Linked DNA regions of Ovis aries. The protein of the gene in region 2 purifies or fractionates together with the protein of the main gene of each other region. This does not show direct contact. Links are inferred from orthologs where the notes say so. Each region holds a gene or a part of one and is shown on either strand. Other genes may lie near its edges.

The links.
Region 1: the proteins of PLA2G4A (region 2) and S100A10 purify together in Homo sapiens (affinity purification with western blotting; 3 studies listed by BioGRID). This does not show direct contact. The link is inferred for Ovis aries from reciprocal best matches to the Homo sapiens genes PLA2G4A and S100A10.

Annotation. Positions count from the first base shown.
Region 1 is NC_056054.1:101,965,782-101,971,027, forward strand, and holds the start of S100A10 (protein S100-A10), read right to left. Parts: upstream 3,239-5,246; 5' UTR 3,187-3,238; intron 2,915-3,186; exon of another isoform or gene 2,631-2,914; intron 1-2,630. UniProt on the Homo sapiens protein: Because S100A10 induces the dimerization of ANXA2/p36, it may function as a regulator of protein phosphorylation in that the ANXA2 monomer is the preferred target (in vitro) of tyrosine-specific kinase.
Region 2 is NC_056065.1:67,364,034-67,369,009, reverse strand, and holds the start of PLA2G4A (cytosolic phospholipase A2), read right to left. Parts: upstream 3,543-4,976; 5' UTR 3,437-3,542; intron 2,073-3,436; 5' UTR 2,033-2,072; intron 1-2,032. UniProt on the Homo sapiens protein: Has primarily calcium-dependent phospholipase and lysophospholipase activities, with a major role in membrane lipid remodeling and biosynthesis of lipid mediators of the inflammatory response.

The DNA of each region.
Region 1 (5,246 bases), on a different chromosome or scaffold from region 2:
TTTCTTTGTGTAACTGTCTCTTCAGAAAAAATTTCTGGGCTCTACAAATTTAACTACAGTGGTGGGAATTCAATTTTTGCTGTACCTACACTGAGTGTCTACTTTGCATGACTAGGCTCGTGTGGGCCCCCTCTCCACAGCCCCCACCCCCCATGGTGCTTGACTTTGGGGAGTTCACCAGCTAAGGTCATACTATTTTAAAATATGTCCTGAAATCTAGTTAACTGTTCTTCTGTGTCTTTCTCCACTAAACTGTGGGCTCCAGGAGCAGGGTCTTAGAAGCCAGCACCCTGCCTTCAGAGACTGCTCAGTGAATCAGTAAGAAGGAAATTGACAATAATATAAATTTTGAGCCTTCTGGGAGTAGCAGGGAAGTAGGGGTCCTCCTTAGAAAAGTGTCTGCTCCTAAGCAATATCAAATGTTTGCTATGGACCCATGCCCAGATCCAGGCCATAATTTCAAAAAGGAGATTTCTAAAGAGCAAGAAGTCTGATCTCTTCTGTGTCTTGTCCATGCCCTAGTTTTCTTACAGCCCACCCAAAAAACAATTAGCAGAATGTTAGTAAAAACAAACATGTTATCTAAAACGTGTCTTAGGTGTCCTTCTTTTTGATGATTTTAAAAAGAAAAAAAAGGGGGGTGAGGGAAGGGGAGTGGGATCGGGAATTGAACCCCAAAGGCATTCTTGAATTTGATCCCTAAAGGGAATTCAGCAAAAGTGAGTTGAGGCAATGGATCTAATCCAGGCTGTCTCTCCCACCTTTCACCAAACATAAAATTTTCCCATTAAGAAAATGAGCGGCAAAATAAGAGTTCCAGATACAATCCTATAGGAAGAACTCTGAGGCCTTCCTACCCTAACAAAGTACATCCAATTCTCCATGAAGAGCTGTCAGGTATCAGCCAGAACTGGCAAACGGCCATTGTGACAACAGCTATTAAATCCATTGTTGGATTAGGTGGTAGTTATTTAATAAAGGGCCAGGAAGTGCTGAAAATCGTTAAAAATCATTCTTTTTGCTTTCGATGTGAGATTCCTAAATTGTTGAGTCTCAGAAAAATGAGAACCTTAAGACTCTAAAAAGATCAGCTTTCCTAGCAGTCTGAGTGCTAATCTATACTTTATATCTCTGAAAGGATTCCATTGTTTCCTTCAACTTTAAAAGACTGGACTGGATCAAGGCCATACCAAGTGGGTAGTGCTCTAAAAAAGTCACAGGGTTGGAGCTGTCCGTGGAAAGCAAAGAGGCACTCAGTTTCAGCTCCACCCAGCCCAAGGCCTGACCTCACTGGAGAGTAGCTGCTGGAGAGGTTGGCCAGGTGCCAGACATGGGAGGCAAGGGGGCCATCTGATGTTGTACACAGGAAAAGCCGGGGAAGAGCATCGCCTAGAAATCAGAGTGCTTTATGCCCAGAAGACCATTAGGAGAATCTGAAGAAACAAAATAAGAATCTCCAAATGGTGGATCAAGGACCACAGTGAAGAAAGTAGCTTCTGGCTGTCAAGGGAGGAATACATCACTTGGAAGAGATGATTAAACAGAAACCAGACAGGAGTCTGTGCGGGCAGGGCTGAGGAAGAAATTTCAGATGAATTGTGAACTCATTCCTGCCCTAATGCCTGGCATCACCTTTTGCAATTTGATGAAATATGCTGGAGGCAAAGATCACTGACAGGGTGTTTCCGTGGGCCTGGCCTCACCTGAAGGGCAGGATATAAGTCCACGGCTGCAGTTTGAAACTCATGCTGTAGGGGAAAAAGAATCTGCAGTAACTGCAAACCTCTCAATGGGAAGCACTACCTCCCAAATAAAGCTGAGGCAGCCTGCCAGTGGGAATCCAGACCCATAACCCAGCAGCTGAAACGCCATGACCCTACCAATCTAACTTGTCCTCAACCACAGTTCAGTCAAGAAACCTCTCCTTCAGATGGCCGGCCTGTCCGGGTGTGACTCATTTCCTCTTGGAAAATGCCCTCTAAAATGGCACAGTTCCCCTTTTCCTTCAGGGGAGTGTTCTGTCTGAACCATCTGCAGAGAGTCTGGAACCATCCAGACCACACCCACATGGTCTCACAACTGAGTCACAGGCTTCCACTAGGAGAATCCGGGAGCCCTTTGTGCTAACCACGCCCTGCAGAAACCTCAAGGGAGGGAAGCGGGTGGGCTTAACGTATTCCAGAGTCTGGACCAGGGCCCCGTGGTGCCTGGCACAGGGCTAGCTGCTCTGCTGGCCCCTCCACCCTCGCCCAACAAGGCAGATTCCGGGTTTCAGTTAGGTGGAGACCGCCCGAGGCTGGAGAGTGCGGTATTCAGGTCTGGGGGCAAAGCACCAGTCCTTTGCCAGGCTCAAATTGTGTCCAGGTACCAACAGTTCATTTTACTGGGCCAGGTTAATCTGGGGTGTTAGATCCTTCATTAAACTTGCTCTTCCTCTATCTCTGTATAGATCCACTAAAATAGCAAGAAGGGAACCCTTTCAGTACAAAACCCACTTCAGTGGTGGCCGAAGGTGATGGCTTCCCCTTACCCCCTCAGCAAAACTGTTTTATAAGGAAAACAAATAGAGCCGTCTTCCCTCCGCTGGTAGAGAGAAACTTCTCGTCTAGCAGACAAATAACAGGAAGCCCAACCTTGAAGCTTCGAGGAGAGGGACAGAGGGGTGTCCTTTAGGGCGAGAACCCGCCAGCCCTCTCCGAGTCTGCACGGGCCGTCCAGCTAGGAGGCTACGAACATCTGGACAGAAGTCAGCCTGCAGCCGGAGCCCACAAAGAAACAAGCCGGCCAGGACAGGGGGCCAGAAACAGGGATTCGGGTAACTGCGGAGACCAGTCGAAAAGCAGGAGGGGTGTAAACAAAGATATACCGAAAGGTAGCGCAGAGCAGACCCCGGGGCACCGACACCGAAGTACTGGTAAAGGCCAAGTGCTCCCTCCTCTGGGGGTCTGGGGGGGTCGCGCCGGGGAGGGACAGGGGAGGTGCTCGCCCAGCTGGGGTGTGGCCCAGAGCTCGGGGAGAGGATACCCCCGCATGCCCAGCCGACGCCGGACCACCACCATCGTCGCACCCCCACACCTGGGACGCCCGGTGAAGACCGCCTGGCCAGCGGGAGCCGCCGACGTGGGGATTTCCCCGGGCGCGGGCTGTGGGGCCGGGGACCGCCCGGGACCGGCGGGCAGGACTCACCTTGGCGGGAGGCGCAGCGGGGACGCTCGGCTGGCGGGGACGCGCGGCCAGTGAGCACAGCGCCGCGGGCAGGGCGCCTTAGTACGTGGGGGTGGGGGGCGGGGGGAGGCAGGAGGAGCCTGGGCGGGTGGCAGGGCCTCGGCTCACCCCACCTCTTCCCCTCCCTCCTCTTCCTGCCCGCCTCCCTCTCCCCCCGCCCCGCCACACTCACACCCCGGGCGCAGCGCACACACCCTTCTCTCGCTATGCGGAGTAGCCTCGCTCCAGGCCTCCACCCGCCCCCAGAGAGAAAGATATTGTCAACTCTTCCTACTCAAATGCTCTCGAATATTTTCGTGCCCTTCCTCTAGGGTTTGCTTTTAGCGAGTAAGTGTGGAAATCAAAGAATCCAGTCGTTCTGCGGGTGGGGCGCGCTGGCCCGGAACCAGATTGTAAGCTCCTCGTCTGTAAACTACAGGTCTAGGAATTATTTTCTACATGATATTGTAGGGAGGGGCACCTGACGCAAAGGCCTCAGACTTGGTTTCAGATTAGACTCTAAGAGGTAAATTGGGAGGGGGGGGGTCCAAGGCCTGCGGGGGGTCTCCCCCTCACCCGCCGCCCCGCCTAAGGGTTGTTCTCGGAGAAGGCGAGTTCACTACCCGCCGCAGTGAAGGGGGTGGTGGTGCTGTTTGGCTTTTTAGCTCCAGGGCATTAAGAACCTTTCGTTGAACTGGAAATTGACCCCTCTTAGCGTGCGTGGCAGTTGGTCTGGCGTTCAGTTTCGGCTGTAGTTGACATGATTAAAACCTGTTTAAGAATCTCCTTTTTTTCCTTTTTTTTTTTTCCCCTGAAATTGGCCTGTTTGGTCCTCAAAGCACTTCGGAAGTAATTTAGAGAAAACCTAAGGGTTTCCTAGCTGGTGCTATCCACTCCCCCACCCCCAACATTTATTTTAATTGTGGTTCAGGGTTAAATGCAAACTACTAGCAGCTGTTGGTGGAAAAGGGCCCAGTCCCAAGTCTTGGGTTTTCCTTTGTTCCCAGGGGAGGTCCTGGGAGGAGTGAGTGATCCCTGAGGAATGAGCAGTCTTGGGGAATCCTCCAAATGCCTCCATGTGACTAATCTGAGCTCTTGCCAGGAAAACTCGGATTTCAGTTCTCACTCCACTGAGTTCCTCAACCCTGGTGCTGAACGTTCAAGGGGGCAGTTCTGCAGCCTTCCCATAGGCTTCCTAAGCTCTTCCTAGGCTGTTGGCTACAGTCAAGAGTGGAGAAAATTCTCGGTCCCTTTAGTTCCAGGAAAGATGCAACTGGATTTAGAATGAGAACACCTGAGTTCCTATACTATGCACTCCTTGATTCCTTCACTTGATTTGCAATGTTTAGGAATGCTTAGTGTATGTACTGAAAGAAGGCGATGGCACCCCACACCAGTACTCTTGCCTGGAAAATCCCATGGACGGAGGAGCCTGGAAGGCTGCAGTCCATGGGGTCGCTAAGAGTCGGACATGACTGAGTGACTTCACTTTCACTTTTCACTTTCACGCATTGGAGAAGGAAATGGCAACCCGCTCCATTATTCTTGCCTGGAGAATCCTAGGGACAGGGGAGCCTGGTGGGCTGTCATCTATGGGGTCACACAGAGTCGGACACGACTGAAGTGACTTAGCAGCAGTGTATGTACTAGGGCATGGGGATTCGGAAATCAAAGAATCAGTCTGTCCCTCAAACTTCAAGCTTTGTTGGAAGATAGATTAGCAAACAAAATCCACTGAGCTCAGTGAATGGTAGAGGATGCTATCGGACACTGTGAGCATTGAGGAGGCACCTCCAAGTCCCCATGGAATTATCACAGAACAATTCCTGGAGCAGGAACATTTGATAGATGTTTTAAAGATAATATTTACCATGACTTTTAAATTTGATTGTAAAACAGGTGCATTCTTCTTGTAGAAGGTTTGGGAAATATACCAATGTATAAGGAGAAAAATAAAATCACTTGTAAATGCATGGACCAAAGGTAAACATTTTTATGTATTTCCTTTTTTTCTGTTCATATTTATGTGGTTGCATTGAGTC
Region 2 (4,976 bases):
TTAAGAATCTATCCAGGACTTCCCTGGTGGCACAGGAGATAAGAATCCACCTACCAACGCAGGGGAGACTGGTTTGATCCCTGTCCAGGAGATTCCACATGCCACGGAGCAACTAAGCCAGTGCGCCATGACTGCTGAAGCCCCAGTGCAGCAACTGCTGAGCCCTCATGCTCCAGAGCCTGTGCTCCACAAGAGCAGCCACGCCAATGAGAAGCCCAAACCCTGCAACGAAGAGTAGCCCCTACTCGCTGCAACCAGAGAAAGCTGGCGAACAGCAATGAAGACCCAGCACAACCGAAAATAAATAAATAAATAAAGTTGTAAAAATCTATCCAAATGTAACAAACATTTGTTTTAAGAGGTCCTAAGTGAAACACTATTAATAACAGCAGAAAAATTTCATCCCTGTAAAGATCTAGCAATTTATAATCAGCTAATACAGAATTTCCACTGACAAAAAATTAGATCTTAGCACCATACTCTCTGGCTCATGGCTAGACTGCCATCACTTGCATAGTGCCTGACCCATAGGAGGGCTCACTAATATTTGTTTACTATCTGAATGAATATTAAAGAAAAGCTAAAGACTATAAAAATGTCTTGTGAGAAAATTTCATGATTGAGGAGAAGCATGTTACAAAACAGCAAGAACAGTGCATTAAATTAATTAAACATGGAGGTCATTAGACTAAGGTGACCCTAATGCCACCACAACCTGCATCAGCAAACCAAAATTTAAGCCAGTAAATGCCTCAAAGTTACAAAATCGAAAACTAAGGACAATCATTCAGAAACAGCCAACTAAGCTTTACGCTGTAGCCAATCAATAAATTCCTTACTCTGCTTCTGCTTTTCCTCTATAAAATCTCTCCCCCCATATAATGTCAGTGAAGCACTCCTAACCACTTCTGGTTGGGCACTGCCTCATTGCAATCACTTTTTCCTCAAATAAACTCAAATATTTTTTAATATGCCTCAGTTTATCTTTTAACAAGTGCAATCACAATTTTGTGAAATCTACATATGGATAAATGTATTATAGAAAAATGTCTAAAAATATAAAGAGATGTATATACTTGAATTCCTTGTCTCTATGCTGATGCATGCTAGTTACTCAATAAATATTTCTGATTGAATAAATGACATTTTAAAAGTAGTTACCCCTTAGGGGGACTATATGTACAGTTTTCCTTTTCTTCTTTGTAATTTCTATATTTGACAAGATTTAACCAATAAGCGTGAATTATCTTTGTAATAAATAAGAATATGATAAAACATACTTATGCTGGGAAATGTCATTAAGAATTTTGGAGCAAAAGTAGCAAATATAGACATCCTACAATCTAATAAAAAGAATAACATGTATCTTACTTCCCTATTACGTTTTACTGATTGCATTTGGCAATAAGAAATACAGATGTTACAGAAAAATGGCAAGCTTAAGACTGTACAGCAAATTACTATTGGGGTGGAGTCTAGAATGTAGGTCATTTGATTTCCAGGCAAGTAGTTTTTCCATTACACCAATTATTTAGAGTTCTGAAACACTAACTGAATAAATGCAATATTCACTATAAGGCAGTTCTTTACTTATAAGGGAAATAATTTGCTAATTATTTTATACTGTCAGAAAACTCCAAAATTCTAAGAAATACTATGTTTTCACATGACATGAATCATTTGGAGAATCTGAAATTCCTAAAGGTGTTTAAAAATTTGTGCATTTTTGAGGAGCATATGTCATTATTCAGGGAAGGGATCTACAGCTTTCATAAGATTTGTAAAAGGGTCTGTGAAAATAAAAAAGAAGTTGAGAATGACTAAAGCTTAACTCTACAAGCAAGAGGAAGAAAAAAACTAATGGTAAATAAAAGGCACAAGAGAGGAAAAGGAACCACAGCTAATTCTGTCTTCCTCTTTTTTATTCCTGGAACATATTTTTTTAATATGCAAACAATTTGGTTTTTATGACTTTGCTTTCTAAGCAGACACTAGGAATGATACTGATAGGTTAAAAACACAGGCAAATTACCTCTGTGGGATGAGCTTTATCAGGTACTGTTAGCAAGAAGCTGATAAATGTAAAATGTAAAAAAAGGAAAAAATTAACATTGCAAGTCACTTTTGAGATATTTTTCATTCATGTTTAATTGAGAAAAGGAAAATTATTAAATACATTTCTTAGTTTCTTATCCCATGAAATGTGCTTCCCCTACAGGAAGTTTGTGAAGCAGTTTTGAGCAAATGCAGATTAAACACTTCTCTGTGCATTTCACAATTATTGCTTAAATGAAAATTTAACTCTTTCTTTGCACAATGAAAGAACCAAATATCTGTTGTTTAATCCCAATATTCAACTTGATCGGCAAGGTTTAGAGATAACTGGAATATAATTTTAAAACTCTTAAGCAAGATTTGTTTCATTATTCTTCCCTGCAAACCTCTCTTAGGCCACAATTTCAAATTTGTGCAGCAAACAGAAATAAAACAAAACAGAAATTCCCCTTGAATCCAAAAGGTTATACATGCAAATATCATAGGTTGAAATTGACATACATCCAAATGGTCTGCCTCCTGTATGCTCCATCTCCCTTAGATGAATAAGTGCTTACGTCATCAACCAACCTGAAGACCATTTCTTGTTTTACGTTTTGAGGTCATTTCTAAGACTAAAATGAGTACAATATAGGAGACTTAAATAAATTAAACCACTATCATTTCAAATCCAAGTGGCTTTTTTATTATTTTTAACGAATGCTTTCAATACGAAATTACTAAAATAGTTTCCCACTCAAAACTTAACTTTCTTATTTGAGCAAATCTTTTCCACATCTAGTTTCAAGCTCTGCCCTCTTGGCATGTCCAATAACTTAGAAGGACGAATCAGAAGGCCAGTCATTGTACAATTAGTTTTTCAATGTTGTCCATCTTTTCGCATAACACTGCTACACATTAAATACCCAGGTATGCTTTGCATAAGTAACCGAAATGACCGTTTTTCAATTAAACCTTAAATGAGTGGATAAATTCCTTCGCTAAAGAGCCTCAGGGCTGTCAAACAGCAGGTTGCTCGCTCGTATGGGCATTGGCCACAACCTCACGTGGAGCTCTAGCTAGAGTCACCTCGCTGTGGTTCTAAACGTTAGCTTTCTTTCCGGGCTGTAAAAGAAGGAAACGCCTTATCTTGGACTCCACGGTGCCTCTAGCCCCCGGAAAGCAAACTGGCATTTGTTAGAAGCAAATTAAGGTCCCCTGATCTGTGTCTTATTGGAAAATACAGAGGGCATGCAGACTTTCGAGAGAGCGATGCCTCCTAGCCTTCCCTCCGTCCCTTCCTCCTTCCAAGCAAGGTAGAAACTAAAAGTTAGCGAGAGGGGGAGAGAGACCTGGGAGCGAGCGGGGATGGGGGTGCGGGGAGAGTAAATAGATTGCTTACAGTTCCCAGAGTTACAGTGAGATCCTTCGGGCTCCTTTACGCCTCTAGTTTTCAGTCGGGATCCTTTCTTAGCCCGGGACCACAGAGAAGTTCAAGTCTTATCCTTGGTAGGAGGGGCTAAAATGTGGGCTGGTTTCCTTTCGTCTTTGCAGATGCGTTAAGGTGGAATTAAAAAGGAAGGGAGGGAAAGCGCTGTTCTTGGAGGAGTTAACATCTTAAATGTAAACGTTTACTGTTTAGAACTAGGATGCTGAAGTCAGCCAACATGCACAAGTAAAATGTAAGTTAACCAGTTCTAAATTTCATGGATGCTGTGTATGTATGTGTGTGTTTGAAAATCCTTCTTGTCCTTAAGTAGCTACTGCTTCCTCCTTTTTTTTCTCAACAAGAACTCAACTGAAAAGATGAATAACCCAGAGCATTTTTTTTCTTCTTTACAAAAGCAAAGTTTATAACGAACCTAAAGTATAGGCTACACATTTTGGAGATGAACTATTAGACCACTTTAAAAATGAAATCAATTTAAATATTTCCTCCCCAAACACCAAAGGCCAGTTTATAACCACGTGTTTGTAACTTTAAGATTAAAGACATACCAAAGAATGTACTACATATGTTGAGATTTAGGGGGGAAAAAAAATCAAATCAGGTTAAATCAAAAATATGCAAAGTAAATTCAAATACCTGATGTCACTGTAACAAAGAAGGTATATAGATTAAATTTATCCAAATTCCATAAGAATCAATTAGTCTCTTTAAAGACTGACCTATTCGTTTAGTATATCTTGCTTTTCAAACACAGGATCTTCTAATTCGGTCTTTTTTTAATTTATTTTTAATTGGAGGGTAATTGCTTTACAATGTTATGTTGGTTTCTGCCGTACAATACTGTGAATCAGCCATAAGTATACATATGTCCCCTCCCTCTTGAAACTTGCTCCCATCGGCTATTGCATCCCACCCCTGGAGGCTGTCACAGAATACTGCATTGTGCTCCCTCTGTTATACAGCAATTTGCCATTACCTGTCTATTTTACGTATGGTAGTATATATGTTTCAGTGCTGTTCTCTCAGTTCATCGCGCTTTGTCCTTCCCCGCTGTGTCCATAAGCTTGTTCTCTATGTCTGCGTCTCTACTGCTTCTCCGCAGATAGGTTCACCAGTATCATTTCTCTAGATTCCATATATGCATTAGTATATGAATTTTGTTTTTCTCTCTGACTTAACTTCACTCGGTATAACAAGCTCTAGGTTTTATCTTTCATATTGAGCACACTCTTTTAAAACATTTTCGAAGAATATAACTTCTGTAGATGCCATCATTAATATTCTGGAAAATTATTTGCTTTCTGTAGCCCAAGATCCAACTTCTTTTTGTCTTGATTTTCTCCCGTAAATTCAAACTGCTATATCATCAATCTATCCTTCCTAAAGAAAAGGTCTGTGGTGTCTCAGAAAGTCAAGATCTTTTTCTTTCCGAAGAAGATTCTGAATTTCTGAAGGTTAAGTATGCTAAGTAGAGGAACAGAGAGCACACTAC